2 linked regions of the Oreochromis niloticus genome follow. The protein of the gene in region 1 binds, or shares a complex with, the protein of each later gene. Links are inferred from orthologs where the notes say so. Each region holds a gene or a part of one and is shown in the gene's direction. Other genes may lie near its edges.

Evidence for each region.
Region 2: nckap1 (region 1) and wasf2 share a complex: the UniProt entries of both Homo sapiens proteins name them as parts of the WAVE2 complex. The link is inferred for Oreochromis niloticus from reciprocal best matches to the Homo sapiens genes NCKAP1 and WASF2.

Annotation. Positions count from the first base shown.
Region 1 is NC_031978.2:5,315,504-5,328,037, reverse strand, and holds the start of nckap1 (nck-associated protein 1), read left to right. Parts: upstream 1-6,639; 5' UTR 6,640-6,875; coding exon 6,876-6,983; intron 6,984-7,226; exon of another isoform or gene 7,227-7,699; intron 7,700-12,534. Other genes in the region: dual specificity protein phosphatase 19, read right to left, coding at 5,205-5,433. UniProt on the Homo sapiens protein: Part of the WAVE complex that regulates lamellipodia formation. The WAVE complex regulates actin filament reorganization via its interaction with the Arp2/3 complex. Actin remodeling activity is regulated by RAC1.
Region 2 is NC_031985.2:22,539,561-22,552,538, forward strand, and holds the start of wasf2 (actin-binding protein WASF2), read left to right. Parts: upstream 1-6,583; 5' UTR 6,584-6,729; intron 6,730-7,867; 5' UTR 7,868-7,900; coding exon 7,901-8,033; intron 8,034-8,240; coding exon 8,241-8,375; intron 8,376-8,512; coding exon 8,513-8,666; intron 8,667-9,857; coding exon 9,858-9,975; intron 9,976-10,117; coding exon 10,118-10,239; intron 10,240-11,231; coding exon 11,232-11,387; intron 11,388-11,676; coding exon 11,677-12,146; intron 12,147-12,978. Other genes in the region: methyltransferase-like protein 24, read left to right, coding at 1,285-1,421, 1,585-1,852, 4,084-4,389. UniProt on the Homo sapiens protein: Downstream effector molecule involved in the transmission of signals from tyrosine kinase receptors and small GTPases to the actin cytoskeleton. Promotes formation of actin filaments. Part of the WAVE complex that regulates lamellipodia formation.

The DNA of each region.
Region 1 (12,534 bases):
TTCTGATGCAACCCCCTGCTCAGACATTGTGGGACACAAGCAGGTATAGATATAATGATTCAGTCTTGTTTGTCTTGTATTTGTTTTGTGTCTCCTCAATGTCCTTGACCATGCTTATTGTTTTGCAGGCAATAAAGTAAAAAAAAAAAAGAAAAAGGCAACAGCACTCCAGTTTCAACTGAGAAAGGAAATCACGCAGGGAGACAGTTAAAATAGAGCAATGATCTCTTTCCATTTGTCAAATAACTCCTCATGAAGACAGCAGTGGAAGTCTTGAGTAGCAGGATCTGGGTAATTATGTGAGGGAGACATATGGGCAGGAAGCAGAATATGATGGAAGCACTTCCTCCAGACTTTCCAGGGTGGATTCTCAGCTTGCTGTCTTCAAAGTAGCAACATTTGCACTCTTTGCATTAGCCAATCCACTTTTACGTAATGCCAAACTCATGGTGTTGAGATGCACATCTAAAGCCAAAGGACTGAGCATGTGTTTGGAAATAAGCCTGCTCCGGCCCATATGTCTCATCAGTATAGAAGAAGATGATTTACAGTGACACTTCTGTGAAAGGATGCCAGGATTTTTAGAGCACTTTTTAAATAAGAGTCTGACAGGGGACCTTGTTCAGCGAGTATGCTAAAGAAGAGTAGACAGATGTCCATCATATTTTTAGTGGTGTGTGGCAGATGTTATTAGAAAATCAATAGACTCAATGTGCTGGTGTTATTAAAGCAGAGGTAGACATGTTTTTGCTTTAACTTATAATAAATTATTATTATTGCACAGTATAATAGCCAACTGAATATTAATGTGGTCAACAATTAGACTGGCTCTCACCGAGAAGAGGAAAGCACTTTTATTTTCTGTAGTTTTCCCCACGTAGCTGACATGGTGGAAAGTGGAAACAAAGTAACGGTGGATACAATCCGCCAAAAGAAAACAAGCTCTGTTGTTAAAAGGGAAGGGATAAGGTGAAGTGGTAGAATCACAGAAACCAAAAGTAAAATTAAAGTGAGTATCAAATTAATGGAGAGAGCTTCCCAACATGAGAGGGTTCAAAAACAGTGTTTAGTTGTTACTGTTTCTGTTGTAACAATTACTGCACAGGGGATGAAGACACATTAAAGTTAGGCCCCAGTCATATAGCCTTAGAGGCAAGTTGAAAACCACCAGTTGCGAGGTTAAAAAGTGTAATGCAGCTGGTTTTTGGCCACCACCACAAAATCAATCGCTAAAGCCTCATTTATGCAGACCTAGAGAGTTGTCTGTGAACTCAAAGCAACACAACATGCCACTGGCTAAAGAAACTCAAGAACAGATGAGAACCAAAGTGACAAAGCCATTTCAAGGAGAAAACTGAAGTCGGCCTATGAAGATTACAACAAGAGCGTGCTCACAACTCATCCACGAGGTCACAAAAGAACGCAGAACTGCAATAAATGAAATCATCATTGACAAAATGTATTTTGTATTTACTCTGGTTATCAGTGTCTAATATTAAAATTTGTTTGATGGCCTGAAACATTCTAGTGTGACAAATATGACAAAAAACAAGGAAGTCAGGAAGGAGAGAAATACTTTCTTTCATCACTGTACATTTCCCCCATAGCAACTGAGGGTGCCAGAGCGTCACCAACTGGTCTCCAGGCCTGTGTGACTGAGGTTTTGCCACTTTCATTTTTTAGTTGGCAGACTTTGCCCCAAAACCTTGAAATTAAGTCGATACTTCTTCTATTGATTTTCACTGCATTTCCATTTAGTTATTTTTGTATATCATTATTACATGTTGCTGCTTATCAGTGAAAATTGTATCTGTGTTTTTAATTGGTAAGGGAGAATCCTCCCTTTGAGCGACATGTACCATGAAAAAATACTGAAGATCATCACAATGAATACCCCGCACACACACAGAGAACAACTTCTCTGCTCTTGCCTGCAGATGTTGTTGTAGATGCATTTGAATCAATAATGGGAAAAAAGAGTCAATTTTTATTCTATAAATAATGAGATTTGGTAAAAATGTGTCTTAATCGATTGCTATTTTTTATATTTTTATCTCCATCCTGTCTCTCAAAAGCTAGAAGAGGAGCAATCTTCTTTGCCTCCATGGATCAGATACACTACACACGGTCATTTTTAGTCTTCAGGAAAAATCCCTCACACACATGCTGTAGGAGAAATTCCCTTCCCTTTATCTGGAGACCTTTTTTGGGCATTTCTTTTCAAAAGATGTTTAAGGCCACAGTCGAAGAAAAATAATGTTAGTTTAAGCCAGTGGCTGTAATACTACTACTACTAATTCTACTAATTGTACTACTACTACTACTACTACTACTAATAATAATAAATTGTATTTATTGAATTATTTAAAGTAAAATGTTCTGTTTCAAGATTCCAAAGTTGCTCATATGAGATATTTCCTATATGTTTTATTACCCTCAGTCAAACACAAATCAGTTCAACATTGTATTTGCTTGAAAGATCAAAAATATTAAGCACCAGCTAGTTAGCTTAGCATAAAGACTGGAAACAGGGGGATGCGGTTAGCCTTTCTACACTTTAAAAATAGAAGCCCAACAAAGTTTCTACAGACATTTGGGTTAAATGAAAAACACCCAAACCTGTAAGTTGGAACGCTTTGAAAGACTTTTAGTAGGTAGTTTATTTTAATTTTAGGATGGAGCCAGGCACACTATTATACTAGGACTCTTCTTTGGCTATAGCTTCATATTAAACGCATCTAAAAGGGGGAACGAATATCATTTCCATGACTTGACACTTTGCAAGAAATATAAAATCATAAAAAGTTTTTTTTGTTTGCTATTTTTAACCGATATCGTGGAGATATAGGAGCTAGTTTAAATTGGATGATATTTATGTGTATGTCAAAATATAATAACTGTCACTGGATTGTAGCCAGAGGACAGCAACACATTATAAATATTAGCAATATCACGGCATCAAGCCAAAGACAACTGAGGGAGTCTGCACAAAGCCTTCAGAGAGGAACTTGCCTCCAGCCTGACAGAGCTGTACTGTACTCTATTTACAGAATATACAATGAAAATCTGTCACAAGAGCACTGAAAAAAACAGAGAGGCAGTTACAAAAATATCAGAGAACTATTAACACATGCCCTGTCATCCTGTACAGTGTGATAACAGGTTGATGTGACCACTGAGGTACTTTGGGGAATGAAAACAGGTTTTAGTGTTTGAAGCGCACCTCTGTTGAGCCAGACAGATGTAATATTTTATTGATCCCTGCTGAGAAATATTCTCGTTGATTGTTTCTCGCAGTGAGGTCAAAGCACAGCGTTAGTTACAGATGTGAACAGCAACCTCAGAGCAGGGTGGGAATTCAATGTCAAGCTCAAGGACGCTTCAGGGTGGATGCATACTGACATGTGGAAAGCTGCATCCTCCAGCTATACGGCCAAGTCAACATTTATCTTTGGACAAATTGAAAATAACAACAATGATTTATCCATTATTGGGAATTAATAATGTTAAGTCATTGCCACAGTAACTGGATCTGCACAGAGACATTATAAGAGTCCTGAATTTAAATCTGTGGGAAGGTTCAGCAACAGTAAAGATGGTGGTAGAGATAAAATGTCCATGTAAAAAAAAAGCTTTTTAAAATCTTGTTTTGGGGCAAAATCACCAAAATGTTTGAGCACTTTTCTTAGATTCGACTGATGAAGAAGTTTGATCCATACAAACACAAATCAACTTCTTATTTGTGTCCATGTTATACCATTGACTGTATATTGAATCCTGCTATGAAAAGCCTGTGTGCTGTCCAGTTGTATCACTGTGTGAAAAGCATGGGTAATATTCCAGTAAATGTACCATTAGAGAGTAGGTGACATGCATCCTGCATGCTCTGTCCAGGCAGCTTCTCCATGTAAACTACACAAAGAGTACTTCTGGAAGTGCATATGCTTCTGAAGTGGACTATTTTCTCCCGAGTGTTAGATGTGACAAAGGAGAAGTGTGGAAAATATCTGGCGCTTATTGTCCTCAAATTGTTTGTTCATGTGTGAAAACTGAGGGACGCTGCATGCTCGTACAATAACTTGTCAGTTACAACAGAGCCACATGACTCAGAGTTATTCAACCCCGCTGCCCTAAAGAACGCATTAGCAAATCATTCCTACCCTTCTCTGTGAAACTGTGCAATAACTTTTCTTTCTGTGATATGTGAACACGCCTGGCAGGCATAAAGTTCCACACACATATTTCTGTATTATACCATCCTGCAGGTGCTTCTTTGATTTATAGTGTACATATTATTTATTAATGGAATTTGCACTATGCCCTTGTAAAATCCCAATCTTACTTTTGTTTTTTTTACTGTTGTGTGTGTGTGTATATGGGGGGAGAGAGAGAGGGGAAGACATGCGGCAAAGGGCCGCGGGTTGGACTCGAACCCGGGTCATCCGCTCTCAGCCATGCGGCATATGGTCGCCTGCTCATTCCAGAGATCTCAACCGGCGCCCCAGACTAGACTCTTTTAAGACTCAGAAGCCAATAGGTGAATTCGACTGAGAAAACTGAGCAATTATGCTTGACATGATATTGACTTACAAATCACAAGATAGCCAAATACCCTGTTTTATCACTAATTTTACACTAAACTGGATGACAATTTAGAAAATGGCCATCATGCTCTATTAAATGAGTCTTGAACCTAGTGATTGAGACCACAAACCCATCAGGAAAGGGTTTACTGAGCTCACAGAAAAAGTGAGAAGTAGGGCTGTTTTTCCATAGACTTCTAGACAACTTGAATTATTTTTGCCCCCTGCCACCCATGAGAACGAATACAGGTTTACAACACTTCTGCAGCTACTTTACTTGTTAGACCCAGATCAATTTCTGTTGAACCATGCATATTTCCAGATTCACTGTTTTCTGTTGAGGGTTACTAAAATAGATTTGCATGCTTTAATATTCAAAATGCAAAACTGCTGACACTCTGTGTAATCAGCAGACAGCGATGAGAGATTTCTGTGTTACGTTTTGTGAAAATATTGGTGCATATCAGGCAATCTATATGCAGATATACGTGTGATAGGCCAATAGGCCAACTGCTAATAATGCCCAACAGATATATTGATCTGGTTCTAGAATAGTGCAATCATGTGGTGGGATTAGCACTGAAAAAAAAGCATTTGTAAGAATGGTGCTACAGCGATTACCCAGCAGGAGGAACGGTCTGACGACACCAACTTGGAGGTCCAGGCTGTTATCTTCTACAAATCCACACCCATTTCCCTCCTCCAGCTCTTCAACCTGCTCCACATCTCCCTCTCCTCCATCACTCCTCCTCTCCAGCAGCTTTTTGCCTGTCACTGTGGTAACACGCGTGCACTGTTTCTTCAGTCGGTCTTTCGCGAAGCCGTGGATCTCCTGAGCCAGTGAATGCATCACAACAAAGTTTACAGGACTCGCCTGAAACATACAAACGTATATTTAGCTGAAGCATTAAGTTTGTAATTGATTTGTTAAGTATTGGTAATGTATAGTTACACAAACTGGGCTAAAAGTGTGTATGCCACAAGAAATGTTAAACTAAAAGGGGGAAGGCACTGATGTCTGTAACAAGTGAAGCTGATGTCTGAATGTAAACACATCACACGTTAGTTTCTCTACTTTTGCACTAACCTGGTTTTAAATGGACTGGATTCAATCAAATTTCCGCAAAAGATTAGACCGCTGCTGCCTTAAAATGGCTTTATGCCATCGCTGCAATAGAATCTCACATTATCACAGCTTTATTTTTTTAATACAAGATAAAAAATTTAAAAAACGAAACAATCTGTGAGAAAGGAAAGCTCCTGCGACTGACAGCTGAATCGGAAGCTACGTCACAGTGTGATGCGTTCAAATGCTCAAAATAAAATAGTAAATTTGTTAGATTTTTAAATGCCTGGTTTCACTGTTAGAAAATTATACTTCTACTTAATATTTTTATCCCTGTTTATTGTATTTATTTTGATTTCAAACTATTTTTCATCTTATTAAGTTTTTTGCCCAGTCATATTCTATTTGATTTTATTGAGTCATATACTCTTCTACTTATTTTTTAATAACTGCAAGGGGCAGAGGTAGTGATAGTGAAACCTGCTATGACGTATGATTAGGAGATGATGGCACAAACAAAAAGGACAGGAGGTTGAGCTGGAGGTGGCAGAGTTGAAGATGCTAAGATTTTTATTGGGTGTGACCAGGATGGTCAGGATCTTTTGTTTGTTTGTTTTTTTAAACGAGTACATCTCAGGGACAGCTCAGGTTGAAGGGTTTGGAGACAAAGTTAGAAAGGCAAGGATGAGATGGTTTTGATATGTACAGAGGAGGAGCAGTGGATATAATGGATAAAGGATGTTGAAGATAGAGCTGCCAAACAGGAAGAAAAAAGGAAGAGTCCAGGGAAGGGAACATACAGACGGTTGGTGTGATAGACCCCTATTCTACTTATTTAAACTACTTTGTTATAAGCTGTTAATGTTTAGCTGGTGTACCAAATGAATTTGCCAACTTCTGTTATAAAAAAAATCTTAGCATCATCTGGAAGTATACACCAAGTGTTTAATATAAAAAATTAACGAGGGTCCGTGAACGCAGCATTAGCCAGCCTCGTTGTGAAAACCAGGACAACTCCTCATCCAGGGAACGAAAAAAAAGAAAAACAGGCAGGGAGACGGTGGGGTGGAGTACAGGAAGCTGGTAGAACATGGGCGAAATTTAATCTAATAACGACATAAATCACAGTTTCCATTTCTTCCCTATTTTTACCGAACAAAGACTGCGGAGATTTGTGGAATTTTTACTGGATTGCTTTGGAGATTTAGGCGAACAGCGAGGAGAAGATGTCTCGGGGAGTGATCCAGCCCAGCCAGCAGAAACTGGCAGAAAAACTCACCATCCTCAACGACAGAGGCATCGGGATGCTGACCCGTGTTTACAATATCAAAAAGGTTCGCACACACACACGCAAGGCTGTGCCCCCCACTGATCGCATACAAGTCTTTGAACAGATTTTTTTTTTTTTTTTTTTAAGGACATCCCAAATTAACATCAGGGAGATATATGGGATTAGCTAGCACTGATTGCTACTCTCACGGCAAGAGCAGTTAGAAGATTTTTAGGTCTCATTTTAGAGATTAGGCATTATTATTATTTTACTAACTGCGTGTTTATGTGCGTCAAACGACACTTACGTTATCCCTTTGGTATCCCTGGAAGCAGGTTGTGGGCACAGCTAGCCACTAGCTGTCGCGTTAGCTTGCGGTAAAGCTGGCCATTGGATTTACGACGTGAACTGATTTCCGGTTAGATTAATGAAAATGGGAGTTGATTGTAATAGGTAGCGCCATGAACAAAAGGAACCAAAACAGCCAAACAAGCCCCTTAAATCCCTGGGCCTGCGTTAGTGGTGGGAGCTAGCTGCCGTCGTTGGCTGCTATAATGGCGGCGGCTGCTAGCTAAGCTAACCACTGCTAATAAAGCTAGGAGTCGGGCGTCGTCTCTCTCCACCAAGAGCCAAAACACGAAGCACTAAAACACCAAACTCCGGCTGCAGGCAGCCTGTTAGTTCACCCCAGTCACTGACATATACACAACTGAACTCGATGCTTTTTTTTTCAGACCTAGCTGGCATGTACCTAGTTTAGCTGGGTAAACTAATTGTGGAAAAAAAAAAAAATGAAGCGAAAGTAACGAGTAAAGTCGGTTAATTGGACATTTGTTCGGTTGTTATTTTCAACTGATTATCGAACAAATATTTATGATACAACCAGAATTTAATCTTTTATATATATGCTGGTCATTGATAAACGAATGGTTTCATTTGCACCCTAGCTGTATCCAGCAGGCGTTTTGCTTGACTGCATAAATGCTATGCAGTTTGACATCTGTCCAATAAGCTTTTCATGTGTTAATGTTAATGTTTAAAGGCACTTAATGTAAAATTATGTGCTTAAAAGGAGATAAAAAATACTAAGTTAAATAAAGCTATCAAGAGATCATTTAGAAACCATCAGCATGACTTCATAGCCAAAACGGCTGTGTGTTGTAATAGAGAGATATCAGCTGAAACTAAGCTAGGCTAGGGTAAAGCCTTACTTTCACATAATACCAGTTTGTACCTGCCATTTATTTAACCAGGCAAGTTATTAAAATTTTTTCTTATTCATCTGGTTAAATGGCAGCCTGGAAAAAGTAAAGCCTCTTGAGGTAATTGGGGTCTGTATAGAGAAATTTCAGGGCTGCATTTTCCTGATCATGTTGAGAAAAGGGCTTTAGCCCTCTCCTGAAAGATAATTTATAAGGAGTTGGGGAAAGAGAAGAGAATCTGGCTGCGCTTATAAAAATCTCCTTAATAACTTGATGTGGTCTGCTGTGGTGACAGTATAATGCCCCAAAGATGAATTACAAGAACCTTATCTGAGATACTTTGCCCCCATTTGCTTTTCAGTGTTCAATACGTAGGAATAAATGGCTTATAGAGTGAAATGTAGTGTCTCATTGAGTTGACACTGCTGGAGAGATGACCCAGTGTAACTCCTGCCTTTATTAAAGCTTTCTGAGCCTGAAGTAATATTAATTAAAGTTAAACCTTAAGGCTGAATTAGCAGTATTGGACAGAAATGATGCAAAAATGAATTATGGCAACCCTTCAGTTAACTGTAAAGATTTGAACATGCTAAAAATGCATAGAGTTCCTTGAAGCAAGGCAGAAACTTCCTAAGAAGCAGATTTTATCACAACAGCCTGCGTTTCGTAATTTTCCTTGTTGGTATAACACGGCTGATAACATATCAGGAGGTTGTGAAATTAAAAGAAAAACCAACTTAATTAATGTTTACCCCATCAGCTTTGTTTCACAATCATAATGATTGATTGCTGGATAGTGCATTGCTATGAATTATGGCATGGTATTATCTCTTTTCCTTTGATACAGGATGCTTTATCCTCTGCTAAAAGGAGGTGACAAGGGCCATGCTGATCTCCTTTCCTTCATATTTAGAGGATCAGAATCTCACCAGCTCTTTTTATGGCTGTCATGCAGGTGCTTCCTGCTCACTTTGTTCAGTTACAAATTAAACTAAGCAAAATTGACCTTTTTTGACCATAGCCTTAAAGTTTCATACCAGAATACACCCAAAAGCATCAAAAACACACCCTACTGGCATGTTATTGCCCCCTTTGTGGTTAAAGTGCCCTAAGGCTATTACAGTTGACTACAAGCACACTTAAAAACCAAGACTAGATCAGAAGTAAAAAAAAAACAAACAAAATGCATTTTAGTTAACTAATATAAAAAAAACTAGAAATCATTTTTTGATTGTTTTAAAATTTCCAAGGCAGAAATTATGAGGAGGCTTTAGACTGGGATGTCTGTAGAATTATGAGCCATTAGTGTGCTGATGAATAAACATCAGCACACATAATAATTCAGTAAAATAAAAATAGAGTAAACTAGTAAACTCATGCGGAAGCTAAACTGACGTGGGGGGAAAATAACTTCAGTGCCCACATTGATACTACATCTGCTTCTTATTGCAATAGGCTCAGTTATATAAGACACATTTACTAATGTTAACTGACTCTTGCTCAAGTTTTACACCAATGCTTTGTGTGTGTGGGAGGAAAAAAAGAGTAGTGGGTCTGTTTGTGTGGGATGAGCCTTTGTTGCTTGAGTATTTATGATGAATAGATAATGAGGGAGCGAGTGAAAGAGGTCAGTCATATCTTAGCCAATTTTAACAAGTGAAGAGTAGAGTGTTAAACTGTCTGAAAGCCGATACTGTTTCCCATGTGTAGTTTGGAGGTGTCTTTCGACAGCATTTAATTTTCAAAGCATTATTTTGTTGGTCTGAAGGCACCCTCATTGTGTAAAACACTCAGCTAAAATGCCACTGTAGTAATAACTTGCTGTGAGCATGTCTGTGAAAGTTACAACACAGTATGAGCAGTCAGACACTAAGATTTTGCTGCTGATTACTCTTCTTAATACGCCCTTCCTTTCCTCCCTCCCTTCTTCCTTCCTTCCTTTTTTCTTTCTGTCTGTCCCATCATCTTCATATCTATCTATATTCAAACCTGCCCCACCATAAATCCTCTGAACATATCCTCTCTGACCTGTTCATATGTCATTTTAATGCTTCATTTTACCTTGTAATATTAGAAAACGTCCTAACATCCAGTATTAGCTGCATCCCAAAGCTAGGAATAAAAGAACTGGAGCAGAAATTTGTACCAAAAACCAGGGGCTCAGTCTTTTGATTTGGTTCTTTAATCTTGCAAACCCTATCAAAGTTTCCTATATTTAATCAGTAGAGACAATTGTGTTTGCTTTGTTGTTTGGTTTCTACCTTTGGGAGATAGTAATTCATCTAAGATCATAGCAATATTCCTATCCATTTTAAGCATATTAACTCATCACACCATCGACTGTCTGCAGAAACCCTAAAATCTCTTCCTTAATTAAGCCACCTTAATTATTCTTGGCTGAGCTGGCATTAAAGTTTTTCTTTGCTGTGCTTATCTTTCAGCCAGTGGACCATCTAACATCATATTACTTCTTCAGGGTATCGGTTCGTCTTAACCCCACTCACACTCAGCTAACCCCTCGTGCCCCTCACCCCCAAGCTAGTGTTAAACATATTCAGTCAGTTTCCCACAAATGAATTAAGCTTAGTCCTAAAATAAGAGAATCATTCAGTGAAGCATTGAAAAAACACATTTAGTCCAAGACTACAACTTAATCCATGTCTGAGGAACTTGAGTCAAAGGCCTTTAGTTTATTGTGACTAAAATCAAAACTGGCCAATATGTAAGAACGCAGTTGTGTTGCTGAAATGTATAGAAAAGTCTTTAAATATCTGGAACTTTAACTTTTAGGCTGCTTTTCAGATGTCAGGTTTAAATTCGGGATGCACCAATCTGATATCTGGATCCTGTGCAGTTCTTTGTGCACGGAAGAAGCTAACATCTAAGCGCTTGGACAGGATCGATGCGTTGGCTTCTCTCTCATATTTACTTTTATTCAGGTACTCGTATTTACTTTCCTTTGATTATGTTCTGTCAGAGACATCAGGTAAGCTAGGAGCTAGAGGGATGTTGGTTTCACTGTGGGCTGAAATCAGACTAGTACAAACAAATTAAATAGATAATGTTAATGTATTTTTTTTAAAATGGTGTTGTATTCATCTTTGACATGTAGTACAGTAAATTTGTCCTTTGATGTATTTCTCACTTTTTAGTCAAGTTAGAATTAAAGTTGTTTCATCAAACTTTGCTCATAAAATGATGATTCTCAGTCATTTTCTCACAGTGAGACATATTAACTCTGTTATCAGATTGGTACTCTGTATTGGAAAACCTTTAAAGCCAAGGATTCCTCATCATGTTGGAAGTGGAAAAAGATGGATTGGTGCATCCCTAGTTTAAAGTTCCTCAAAGGTCTCCTAAGTTATACCTACACATCTGTGACACCATCACAATTAAACAGAATCTATGAAACGTTACTAATTTGGTGATTCTTGCAGTACTTTTGCTTTCAACTTCAAGTTTCAAGTTTATTCATTTATATAGCACTTTTAAAAACAACAGTTGTTGACTAAAGTACTGTACAATAACATATTCAAAACAGAAGATATACCAAATTTTGGTGAAATGAAGCAGTTTTTGGGAAGATAATCCAAAATAATTGTTCTTCCATTTGGGGGCAGAGGCATTTCAGGTTCCTGAATCCTATTTTGTTTAAACTAAAATATATATATTTTTTTAAATTATATACTGGTAAAATATCAAATATTTATAAATTTATTGAAAGTGTTATATCTTTTACCTTCCAGAAACTTAATGCCCCTTCTTCTGTCTTTTACCACCAGCCTTTTTTTCTTCCCCTTAGCTTCAAAACATTTTTTTCAGCATCACGCTCTGCATTCTGATCCACAAAATGTGGTTGCTTTCCTTTTGCTGCGGAGAAAATACTGAGAAGTATCGCCTGGCCATTAGCTTACCTATTGTATGGTTGCCCAGAGGGGACATTAACACATTAATGAATAACTGCTGGGGTGAAAATTTGCAGGTTGACATTTATTGAAGGGCACACCTGATTACCAGGGGCATTTTTACTCCTCATTTTTAATTTCAAGCCTACTTTATGAGATGGATAAGGCCCAAGACCTCCATAAATTTTACATGGTTTCAGTGGCATGTTGCCCCAAAGAAAATGCAGTGCAAAGTGAATTTCATCAGAGTGCTGGCAGATTTAATATTTTTTAAATTAATTCTGTTTGATTTGAAGATATAAATTTGGTTAGGGTGAGCTGGCCATTAAGGAAAGAGCCGGCACTTTTTCAGGTGCTTCTTTTTGCTAACATGTGCTCAATGAGTGAAATTAGCTGTTTGATTTGGATGAAAACCTGCTGACTTTCATCCCTTCATGGTATCACTTTCACATCTGTCACAGCAGACCTCAAATGCCTGGTGTCACTAAAATGTTTCCTGAGGGTTTCT
Region 2 (12,978 bases), on another chromosome or scaffold:
GTATGTGCAGTAATACACATATTATATAGTCGAATGCACAAACTTTTGGCTTGTGACCCTTTAAAAAGTGCTTGCTATATTTCACGAGGAAAGTCACGGAAGAAAAATCAGGTTTTTATTTGCAGACGGTTTTCTTATCTTTCCTGTCTGTTTAAAAATCTGGTCTCATGACCCCCCCCCCCCGCCAGATTTATCTTCTGACCCCTTGGAGAGGTCCCAGCCCTTAGGATGGAAACCACTGGTCCAATAAATAACGCACTCCCCGAAGGCTGCTCTCCAGCTCAGTGGGGGCTTCAAATTTTTGTAGCCAGGAGTTAGACCTTGCCAAGCCTTAACAGAAATCAATAAAAAAAAACAACTTCATTTTTTTTGACTACTACACTTCTTTGACTGCAGTCGAGTGTGGGGGTTAACATAGCAGTAATATGATCAGTCAGGCACTGTCAATATGCTGGCAGCAGAAATCTACCAAATCTGGAGCCAGTAAGGACTTTTTGTTCCAGACAGGAAACTCCCAAACAAGAGTAAAAACTTACGCAACACCAAGTGCTGGAGAAGTGGGAAGGAAAGTTATATATGTAAGAATTAAAAAAAACTGTGTGCTGGTTTAGTTTGGTATTATTTAAAGGGGCTTGATAATGCTCCATGTTTTTATTCTCAGACTTAAATGAATTCTTATTTATTTCATACTAGACCTCAGGGAAGCATGTTAGTTCACCTTCTGTGTCTCACTTTAGAGCCAGCTTTCTTGTGATTGGCTGCCCCTCACAAACAAAATGTTTTGAATTGCAGGTGGGTGGGGCATCAGTGCTCACAGACAGAGCTCCTTGTTTGAGATGACCGTATAAGGATAGCCAGTCGGTGACATTTCAACAGAGCTGTTTGAAACCTTTAACTTTCTCTGACTGCATGACTTGAAACTTTCACCGTGCTTAATGTGAGCACAAAGTAGGAGCAGCGTATGTGACAGAAAATAAGAAAAAAGCAGAAACAGTCCCCGTTAATTATTCAATGCAACAAATTAAAGCATCTCACGTGTGGCCTTTTTAAACAGCCGCCATCAAATTATGAGTTTATCGTTAAACAATTCTGGTTTATTCAAAGATATTTCGAGCCATGACTCTGCAATGTTCTCACAAATTACACAATTCTGGCCACTTTTCTGAACAACTTCTCCTTCTTTAGCTTCCCCTCTTCTCATTTGAATGCTAATTCTGTGTCGCGCTGTTTCCAGACCTCCATCCAGCCAGTCTTATGTGACTCTTTCCTCTTGTCTGTCCCCAGATGAACTGCTCCAAGGTTTTATCTCCAGGGCGGGCTCAGCCAGCACAAAGCCCTGCAGCGCCAGCCCATTGGCTGCTGTGTGCTGAGGACTGGCTCCTTCCAGCTACACACAAAACGTGTGTCGCATATTCCTTCAGGTGTGCCACTTGTCTGAGCCTTATGTCAGTGCACGTGCTGCTATGCATTCTTATCACCGGTTCAGTTGGAATAAACAATGCAATGCATATTTAATCATGCATGCAATAATGTTCAAACGGCCTTTGCGCTCTCCTGCCTTCCTTCCTGTCTTTGTCTCTCTAGCATGGATGGGGGAGATGCAGACTTTCTGAAGACTGTGTCGGGGCTGGGATGTGAAATACACTGTTTTGATCCCAGCAACTCTAATGCATCTGGTGGTCACCTTGGCAACAGTTTGGCTAGTAACCATGGCGATGGAGGCGTGGTCAGCCAGCACAAGATGTGGCTTGAGTGGCGAGCTCCAAAGAAGCGCGCGCACAAGAGGAGAGGAAACCCGGGTGGTGTTTCTCAGACACTGGCAGACATCATGGCAGCTCTGGGACATCACACAGTAAGACACGCACGCATGCACACACACCGAAATGTAGACAAACAGTGCCAAACAAACATACCTTAGAGTCTTTTCACCCCAACATACCCCGAAAGCTCTTTTACTCAGATGTTCCCATAGCAACAGGGCTCTGCGCCATCTCTGGCTACCATGGCAACAGTTTAAGTGAATGAATCACCCAATTGCTTCCTGCAGCCACAAGAGGGAACTGCATACCTGGAGTTTGATTATGTGCGGTGTGACAGAATTGCAAGCAGTCCAGTATGTTCATCTATAAATAATTAGTGCCACAGCATGGAGTTAAAATATACAATAGCTTCATATGCTGTCATATGCTTCATGTAAGCAATAGCGCCACCATAGGTGGATAAATGATCAAATGAGTGGGTTAAATTTTTTTTTGGGGGGGGCTAAACTTTCTCACTGTTAGATGGACAAGGAAAATTCTAACACAGCTGTATGGATTCAGTGGATGATGCAGAGGAGATTGATACAGACCGTGCACATTTGTTGCATTTGTTAACACATTTGACTTTCTGTTATTCAGATTTCATCCAAAAATAACCAAACCTGGTGCACAAGATGTTTGGACAACTCAGAACACTGTTCATGTGCTTAATTAGAGATTTCATGTATTGTTTCCCCCTGATTGGACAAGCAAATCAATTTTGGCTGCTTCAGTGTCTGATTGCCTCCAGTTTGATCCAAATTTGGTTCAAGTATGTAGAGCCCATGACGTAGACTACACAAGTGGCTGCCATTGCCAGCTTTTAAACCTGTGTGGCTCAGTTGTTCCAACATTTATGACCGACAGTGCTGTTAATTAAATCTACTGTGATTAACCAGATTTTTTGTGAAAGCTGAGTTCAATTTTACTCGCCACACTCAGTTCTGATTACTGTCAGACCTGTTGAATCAAGAAATCACTTAAATACAACCTGTCTAACAAAGTGAAGCGAACACGTCATGTTCACTTCACAATCTAAGGAAACAACTGAGAAACAAAATCACTGACGCATATCAGTCTGGAAAAGGTTACAAAGCCGTTTCTAAGGTTTTGGGCCTCCAGTGAACCAGGATGAGAGTCATTATTCACAAATGGAGAAAACTTGGAACAATGGTGAACCTTTCCAGGATCGGCCGGTCTACCAAAATTACCCCAAGAGCGCATCAACGACTCATCCAGGAGGTCACAAAAGAACCAAGAACAGCATCTTAAGAACTACAAACCCCTCCAATGTGACTGAATTAAAACTGTTCTTCAAAGAAGAGTGGGCTAAAATTCCTTTACAGTGATGGAAAAGACTCATTGTCAGTTACTGCAAACACGTCATTGCAGTTCTTGAAGGAAGGGGGAAAACACTGTGTGAAAGCACTGTAAGCTGGGGCATATGAAACATTAATTGACTGTAAGGTCACAAACAAGATCGCCAAGCGCCATGTAATTGTGGCACTAGAGGTTATAACAGTACAAAAAAAAGAGTACTAATTACTGCTGCATGCTAAAGGGGGAGGGCAACAGACTCAACATTTTAAGTATTGTTCTATTTTGTGACTTTTTAGCTTGTAAGGATGTTTTTTCAACAGTTGCCAGTGAGCTGCAATCGATTTCTCCGAGAACTGCAGCTAATAATTCTAATAATTTGATCTTCAATATTTGATTATATATAATCATATGTATGATTAATAAGCAACAGGTCCACTATGGAAAGCAGTAAAATGGTAAATGAACTGATACTTTGAGCATTCAGAACACTTTCTCATTACAAGCCTAGTCACCCATTCACATATACGTTCACACTCCAACGGATGCATTGGGCGAAACTCCAGGTTCAGTTCGACATGCAGACTAGGGGATGCAGGGATTGGCAGACGACCTGTTCTATCTCCTGAGCCACAGCCACCCTCATAGCATGAATATATCCTAATAAACTACCATTAAACATATAAACAGTATTGGGAATTGTTCTTAGTAAAGCTGAGCTGATCTCAGTACCATCCCAATTCACATCAGCTGATATGCAAATCTAATATGTTTTTTTTACAGTGCTTTAGCATGCTGACTGGAAATTCTGTTCCTGACTTAATCAGTGTCTTTTCTGTTGTTGCTAAAAGCCTGCTTTGTTCTGTATCTGGTGTTTTGCTAACTTAGGCTTCCTATGTATGTGCTTGGGAGGGTGGGGAGGTGCTAGACCAGAGCCGTACTTTCCTCTGTTCTTTCTTCTCCTTAGGTTCACTTCCTGTATGCTGACCTGCTAAGCGGCGAGTGGCGCGTTTTTCAGAATTGGATCGAGGCAGGAACTCTACAGAATGTCCACCATCTTGTTGCCAAGGTGCACCTGCAGTGGGCAGGGTTTGAGGTGGCCGGTAGGGATGAGGAAGTGCTCCGCTATTGGTTCAGTGTCCTTCAAGGTCTTCAAGCTTGTGGACTCAAGCTGGTTCACAGCTCTGCAGGAGAGGGTCACAGTGTCCTAAAACAGACAGTAGCAAATGCTCACAGTTCCTACACACTCAGCTGGGTAAACACACGACACTGAGACTCACACACTGATGGATGAAGCTGCGCACACATTATCCAAAGAGGGGGAAGCAGCTAGTGAAGTTTCCTGTTTTTCCTGGGATTTCAGGCATACACAGTTCTTCACGTGACAACTCCCTCTAGTGGACATGAAGAAATCTGCAGTTAAAGGGTAAAACCAACTCTGAAACAGAAACTGTATTTATATTTAAAACAGCATTTTATTGTATCCAAATATTGAGCAGAAGAAGGGCTTGCTGTTTTAACCAAGTTACAGGCCAAATAATAACAACTATTTTCAACTCAGATTTTGCTGTGTCACAAAGGATGTATGTATGTTCCAACTATTTCTGAACGCAAAACAGCTGTCTGACAGGCTATTCTTTATTTAACAGTTGTACCATAACGCTGTGGGTTTGTTTGTTTTTTTACCAATGAATCCCAGAATGCAACCCTTTGACCTGAGTCTGATCCAACAGGTTAACTTCTTTGAGTACATCACTGTAAGCTTTAATTACTTATATGTGCAATAAAATTTTACATCAAAGAAGAGCTTAGATTTTATAGTAAAATGAGTGTGTATACTGTGAAAATGTGTTAGAGGAAAGCAATCAAGTTGGAGTTTAAAACCTAAATTCCCACCACATTAAATTCCAAATAAGGGTTACTCTGTTAGTGACTGGTTGTAATGCAATGGGTCAGGTGTGTCAGAGCACCTATAATTTGTGTCCTGTGGAAGATAAACACCTTGAGGCAACTATTGTTTCAATGTTGCACTATATAAATAAAACTGAATTGAATAAAAAAATAATTATCTCTTGTTTTTTTCTATATTTATCCATATTTTCCTATATTTATTATAGCTTTATCCATTCGAAAAACTGTTATGTGCTTGATATGATTTTTCCTGTTAAGACATCCAATTGTGTCCACGTTTCAACCGTTTAGCTGTTGATTTGAGGTGAAGTTGAAGAATTTGAAACAGCCCGAAGCATGACGCTGCCACCATCATCCTTAACCGCTGGACCGTGTTGTTTGGTTTGAGAGCCTCAACTTTACTCTTTACAACTTTAGAGAATAGCTTAAGCTTTATCTTGTCCATTGACCATCTCAACCATCAAATCTTTCTTCTGAAGGTATTTGGTTTGTCCATGTGGGCAAATTTAAGTTGAGCTTGAAGATGTTGATTTTGGAGCAGGGGCTTCCTTCTTGGTAAGCACCTTCTCAGTCCATGGTGATGCTTCACTGTGGACAGTGACACTGGTGTTTCTGCAGTTTCCAGTTCGCAGTAGGCTTGAGCCTTGGTGGTTCTTGGATTATTCCTGAACATCCTAACCAGTTTCCTGTCACTGAGGGTGACAGTTCGGGGCTTCTTCTAGGCCTTGGCAAAGTGGTGACACATCTCAATAACTTGTACTCACATATAGTTGTTTGTACTGATGATCTTGGAATCTGTGGTTGTTTACAAATGACAAGGTTTAATGTCTTTATGAGTGTATTCTAAAGGTTGTGTTTAATAATTTGAGAGAAGCACACATCAACCTACGTACTGTATTTACATGGACTTGATAGTGGGAAACAGCACAAAAAAGTAAAAAGAAAAAAGAAGTCTACAAGCGTTCAACAATTAAATTACTTTGATAGTCTATTTCCTCCAACCACATTGTATGGACACTTGATCTATGAAGGAAAACAAAAGCAGCTGGGTGTAACAGTGTTAACTTTATATGCCAAAACAAATGTGGGCACAAGATAAAGCCCATTGCAACATGAAAATAACCACACCCGTCTCAAATGTATTCACCACATATTCACAGAGTTGACGCCAACTTCTATGTGATTGAGTCTTCACTGGATGCACGCTAACTTGAAGCTCTGCAGTTTGCTCGGGCTGAGCTGAGGTTAAGCAGGCACTTAACACTCACCGAGGCTTACTGGACAACCTGCTTGTCGGTAGGAGCTTTTCTCCACAGCACATTTTATCCAGTCATTCCTAATGCCAGTCATTCCTCGGACGCGTTCCAACTCGCTTGAGCGCACGTTGGAATGTGGCGCTGCCTCCACCCTCTCTTACGTAAATTGCGGACAGATGTTTGCCGCTAGTTTGGGTGGAGTTGCGCTTTTTACGTTGCAACTTCCACATCCTGTTCTCGGTTATAGCAGGCGACAGGCCCAACAGCCAATCAGCTTCGAAGAACTCCGCCGCTCGACCAATCAGAAGTTTGCAACCTCGGGACTTGGGCGATCTGTTTAGCTCGGTCTCGCATAGAGTACCGAACAACATTTCTTAAGAAAAATCTTGAGACAATAACAACTGTAGGGCTGTATAAAGAGACGCCTACGGTTACCAGGTTTGACGGTAAGTGAAATGTCTTTGTTGAGTGTTGTTTTGTTTAAGCGAGTGGCGTAAATGTATGTTTGTTTGGCTTTTCCTTCGATATAAGAGGCGCCTAGAAGTTACTTCCTGCTCTGACAAGGCCGACATCCCAAATTACATTTAATCCATTTAAGTGAAGTTGGGGACGCAAAAAAAGTGTAACCCGTCTTTTTTACCACGTATTTACTCACGTCAGAGAAAGTTAGGAGCTCGGTGTAAAGTTGGGGAAAAAAGTGCAGTAAAGCTGGCTAATAGCACTTTGTCAAAGGCAGAGTGGGCGACCTGTCAGTGACGAACAAGCCTCTAAGCCTGAAATGGACGCATTCCTTCATTCACGATTAATCACTAAATCCTCCAGGTAGCTTGGTAATATACACATCCCGAGGTACGAAGGTAGCGACCCTCCATTTTTTCCCGCTTTCTTTTTCTTTCCTTTTCTACACACAGTAACATTTATGCCATGATTCACCACCAACAGGAAAAAACTTGTAATTAGGCAGCTGCAATGGGCAACAGCAGTCACAACAGGCTGTACTTAGAGACTAAACCAAAATCAAGGCCGCACTGTGTTGAAAGCAGGGAGAGTCTGCAGTCACTGCAAATCTCTGACCCCTTAATCGGAACTGTCGTTTGCTTATCTTATTCAGTCTGGACACTGTGGACCTACTGCACTGCGTGAGCTCACACCGCTGCCCTGACTGTAATCTGTTTAAAATAACGTGATGTGTTTCCACTGCTGTAAGCAGTGGGGAAGTCACAAATCCACCTAGTTCTGCTCTTTGCTATTTTGGACATATTAGATTTGTCCACTCTAAACCGGGTGGGTGGTGCATGTTCGATGGGTGGAGCGAAGGCATAGTTTTGCTTCTGCTTTAGCTCTGTCTGGGTCAGTGTATTTTTGTAGGCGTCTGTCTCATGTGACTTATTTAGGAATGGAAGGAACATGTTTTTTGTTTTTTACCTCAATTTGATTAGTCTGCGAATTGTTAGGACCAGTTCACAGTCGTGTCATAATGAAAATAGGTGCTCATTGGGTGCGAAAATATAGTAAAATTTAATATTAATTTGATTACATTTATATGTTTTTCACTCCCCTGACCTACCTCTCCTTTTCCATCAGGGTTGGGCTGCCCTACCCCCAGCACACCCCACCATGCCTCTGGTGACGAGGAATATAGAGCCGCGGCATATTTGTCGCCATCCCATTCCTTCTAACATCCGCAGTGAGCTGGAATGTGTCACCAACATAAGCCTGGCCAACATCATCCGCCAGCTCGGCAGCCTCAGTAAGCTTCTGTTATGCTCGGGTGTCAGTGTGTGTATGAATGGTTAATGAGCAGTGATGAATATGTATTACATGGATGTTTATTGTTTTTAAACAAAGGTTAATGCATTTTTATGTAGATATGAATTTTCATTGGCTATGTATGCGTGAGATAAATCCTTTAATTGGTGCAAGTGAGAAACTTGTGTGTGTGTGTGCACGCGTGCAGGCAAATATGCAGAGGACGTGTTCGGGGAGCTGTTTGTTCAGGCTGGAGAATTTGCCGGCAGGGTGAGCTCGCTTGGAGAAAGAGTGGATCGCCTGCAGGTTAAAGTCACCCAGCTGGACCCCAAAGAAGAGGAGGGTATGTACTTGCACATTTTACTGTTAACGTTACTGCTTATGCTGGTATCAGTGTAGAGTATTGGTTTGAAACCTCCTTTGCAGAGAATCTAATGAACACAATACATGTTTAAAACATTGCCGGTCTGTTTCTCTCAGTTACTTTGCAGGGAATCACTGCAAAGAAGGCTTTCAAAAGCAGTCTGACCCAGGACCAGCAGCTCTTCACCAGGCCGTCTCTGCCAATGCCTGTACAAGACACTTACACGACCTGCGATCCTCCTCCACCGCTCAACCAGCTCAGCGTATACCGGTAAGATGCTGCACAGACCAAGCTCATATTTATCCACTGCAGCAGCTCCAGCAGTTAATAACAAGAACACGTGCAAGCGCATGTGCCCATATGGAAACACACATGCATGGGAGATTCTTGTAATGACTGTGCATTATTTAAGCTTACCCCTGTTACATGTGCTTCTTATCAAGGAGTGGGTCTCGGAGGTGTCTAGGCAGTATTAGGTTTGATTTAAGGAGGCTCAGTCCAACACAACTGGCAGTTTTACACTAGAAAACGCATAGTACGCCTTTGCAAAATCCTGGAGAATTATGGTGTCGACGCCATCGTCTTCCCTGTTGTTTTGTTTTTAGTGTGTAACCTGTTTAAGTCCAGGCAGTTTGGGGGTTTTAATACTTACAGCTGTTTGACAAGCCACACTTGTTGGTTTTGCTGTTAAATAACCCACCAATCAATTGATTGTGGGAAGATACTCTGTGGGAAATAGCCCCAGAGGGCAGTATGGTGGTGTCGTGGTTAGCACCATTGCCTGGGTTCTCTCCAGCTGCTCCAGCTTCCTCCCACAGTCCAAAGACATGCATTTTATGTGAATTGTTGATTATGAATCAACTGTGGGTGTGAATGTGACTGTGAATCGTTGTCTCTCTGTGGGAGCCCTGATTGGCAACCTGTCCAGGGTGTACACTGCCTTTTGCTGTGTAGTAGTTGGGATAGGCTCCAGCCTAGATAAGTGGAAGAAAAAGGGACGGATGGATGCATGTAAAGCGTCTTTAGTCACAAGCTAAGATATCTGTGAGTGTAGATCATTTACAAGGCAAGATGTGTCATCTGAAGTGTGAATAATCAGAAGGCAGATGAGAGTGAGAGGATGATCTCTGCGTAATTACCCCAGCAATGTTAAATGTGATGTGTAGAGCGGTGCCTGGTTTGAATGTAAATGTGGTAATAATTTGACTTGGATCATTCTTTGGGGACAATGATTTATCCGCGCAGTGTGATGTGGATGTGACTAAAGACATTAGTGTATTTTTAGTGAAGTTTTCTTTTAAAAGGGGAAGTTTACTGGCATCTTAAGACTATCACACATGGCAGATAACCATCTTTTAACTAACACTGTATTTATTTTTTTTTGTTCATACTTGTAAGATAGCACATTGTGCAAATGATAACTAGAAATAATTATTAATGTCTGTAAATTGTTGTCTACAGAGACGATGGGAAGGAGGCCCTAAAGTTTTACACCGACCCCTCCTACTTCTTTGACCTGTGGAAGGAGAAGATGCTGCAGGACACCAAGGACATCATGAAGGAGAAACGCAAGCACAGAGTGAGACTCATAAACACCCTCATACGCACAAAGACATGAGTCATTACATAAGTAAAAGCAATCTACAATTAGTCACATCACATGAAATTGTTCGAATCCAGTGCTAATCTTGCACTTTTTAAACCGTCTCCTTAATGAGCAGAAGGAGAAGAAAGACCATCTGAACCAGCGGACCCTCAATCCTCGAAAGATCAAGACCAGAAAGGACGAATGGGAACGGCGTAAGATGGGAGAGGAGTTTGTTGTACCAAAGTCTGACTTGATGTAAGTTTTCTGAGATGCCTCCTTTTTGTTTATCAGTCATTAACAGTGACCGGGAATCAAAAGAACAAAAACCATCAAAGTCTAATTATAGTAAAATAATATCTTCACAATAGTCCATCACAAAACGTCAATCATTTTCATCCAGCGTCATCCACAAGGCTGCAGTGGCTCTGAGCCCTGACATACCCAGTAGGCTTTAATGTGGATTTCAAGCATATCTTATAAATAATTTAATTAATAAAATAAAAAGTTATTTTTTTCTCTTTACAAAGTAAAAAAACCGATCAGACATTATTTTGCTCATTCTTTCCCCCCTTATCACCGGATCTGTACACAGTGGTTTGGGTGGTATGTCCTGTCAGAAAATGTTCTCGGGGGGTTGGGTGTAGAGCTGGCCGTCATTGGAAAATTGCAGTAAACAAATGTGTGAGTCACACTGGGCCCTGTTCTTGATGGGACTAATATTGTTGCATACTTTTATACGTGTGTGTGTGTGTGTGTGTGTGTGTGTTTGCATATGTATATATGTTTGTTTTTTATTTTAATATATGTCATAATTAATAGAATGAATACAACAAATATATGTGCACAAATTAGTTAATAGTACTCATTATAACTCAATAACATCAAAGAGTCCTAAATTCCTTGTTTTGGATTATATTCTTTTTACCAAAATGGGAAGTTTTGCTGATTCAGCTCCTGCAGTGTTTCATCGGCCTCACAGCAGGCCTGATAAGGAGAAAAAACAGTCCGATTTCCTGACAAGCTGTATAGATGAAGAACAAGCTATTCTCTCTCAACACTTTGTGTAATGATCTGTTTCTGCTGCTTTAAAATGCGTTTGGCACGTCTCTGAAATTGTTATAAATGTGCATAAACAGATGCTGCCTGAGCACCAAATGCTAATCACGTCCGTGTTTCTTATTATTTGTTATTTGTACTTGTGGTCTGGTTTATTTTTGGACTCACAGCGATGTCTCATTTCTTATAAGGAATTCTTCTGAGGGCCTGAATGGCAGTATTGGATCTGGGGAGGGCTTCAACTCTGAAAGCCTTGAGCTTAGCACAAACTCCTATGCTTATGATCCTAGCTCGCCTCCTCCTCCTCCCGGTCCCGATGAATTGCCTCCTCCACCTCCGGACATGGCGTAAGTACTGTAACATCATACATACCAGCCCACACATGCTCATAGCACACCACCACCCCTGCAAACATGTAGTGAAAGTACAGCCATATGAAAGTACAGCCAATCCTATACGCGCCTTCTGAGCTGAAGCTAAATGGATTATAGTCTTTGACTTTGTGATTCTTTAATGAATAGGAGCTGCTCTGGAAGCAGCTGCACACAAATTGCAGGTTAATGGAGGGAAGTGAAGGCTCCATTATGCCGTTTATATTATCCTTTATACCTCCAACTTCCTCTTCATCACTTACAGGTATGGTAACGATGGAGCACCCACCCAGAAGCGTGTCAGCATGCTGAGTCCAAGCCACCCTCCTCCAGCTCCCCCCACTGCTTCTTCCCCAAACAACTCCCGCCCAAGTCTCTCTCCTCCCCCTGCACCTCCTCCCCCTCCTCCACCTTCTGGTTTTGGGATTCCCCCACCTCCCTCTGGCTTTGACACCCCACCTTCTCCCCCTCCGCTCTTCTCCTCTTCCGCTCCTCCTGCTCCCCCTCCTCCCCCATCTATGTCCGCCATCACTCCTCCACCACCTATGCCTGCAGGCGGGGGTCCACCACCACCACCTCCTCCACCGCCTCCCCCCGGTCCTCCTCCACCACCTTTCGAAAATTCTGCTCCTCGTCTGCCACCTTCTGGCGGGGTAACAGCCTGTTCTGCTCCCAAACCTCAGCCAGAGCCCGTCAGTGACGCTCGCAGTGACCTGCTGCAGGCCATCCGACAAGGTAATGCACCGCAGGAACACCTCGGGCCTCATGGGCTGGACCAAAGTCTCAAACATGGGAAACGAATAAAACATGCAACACATAACAAACATACATATATAACGAACCATGAAGAGTTTTATTCTGTAATAAAGTTACACATTTATACAGCAGAACAACAACAAAAAAAGCTTAATAAAGTCAAACCTACGTTTTCTTCATAGGATAAGAGAGGGATAAGATAGAATGTTATTATACCAGAGTTGAATTGGAAGGCATGGCACTCCAAGGCAAATCGTTAAATAATTTTGTTTTGAATTTTATGCTCTTTTAGAGGTACAGTCAGTCATTTTTTTTGAGTTTACTTTGCTGGTATTCAAGTAGTTATGTTTTATGTATGTGGCTAGAGACCAGCTGGATGCATTCTACGTTAAAAGCAGAGGATTCGAGAACTCGTAGGCGTTCTTGTGTCGCAAACTTTAATTTGTGTCAGAATCAAGATATAAAAGATCGGACTTTTATCACGGGAGAACGGGGCTCCTTCACCAAAGAAATGAAAACCTGAAGAGAAGAGACAACAGCAGTGGCATCCTAATAAAGCATCATCTGTTACTCCTCACATCAAGCCTCATCTCCTAAATTGAAGTCAGGGCTGTAAATCAGAAAAAAGTGCAAAAACATGCTTATTTATTCCTGGTATTTTCAAAATGACTTCTCGGCAGCAGATTAGACATGCAGCCCTCTCAGCAGCCACCGTAGCTTAATTTATGCACTTGAATTGGGAAATGTGAGAAAATAGATATCAGTTGACTGCAATCCACTGACATCTAGCAGTGAGTTATGCACACCCTTT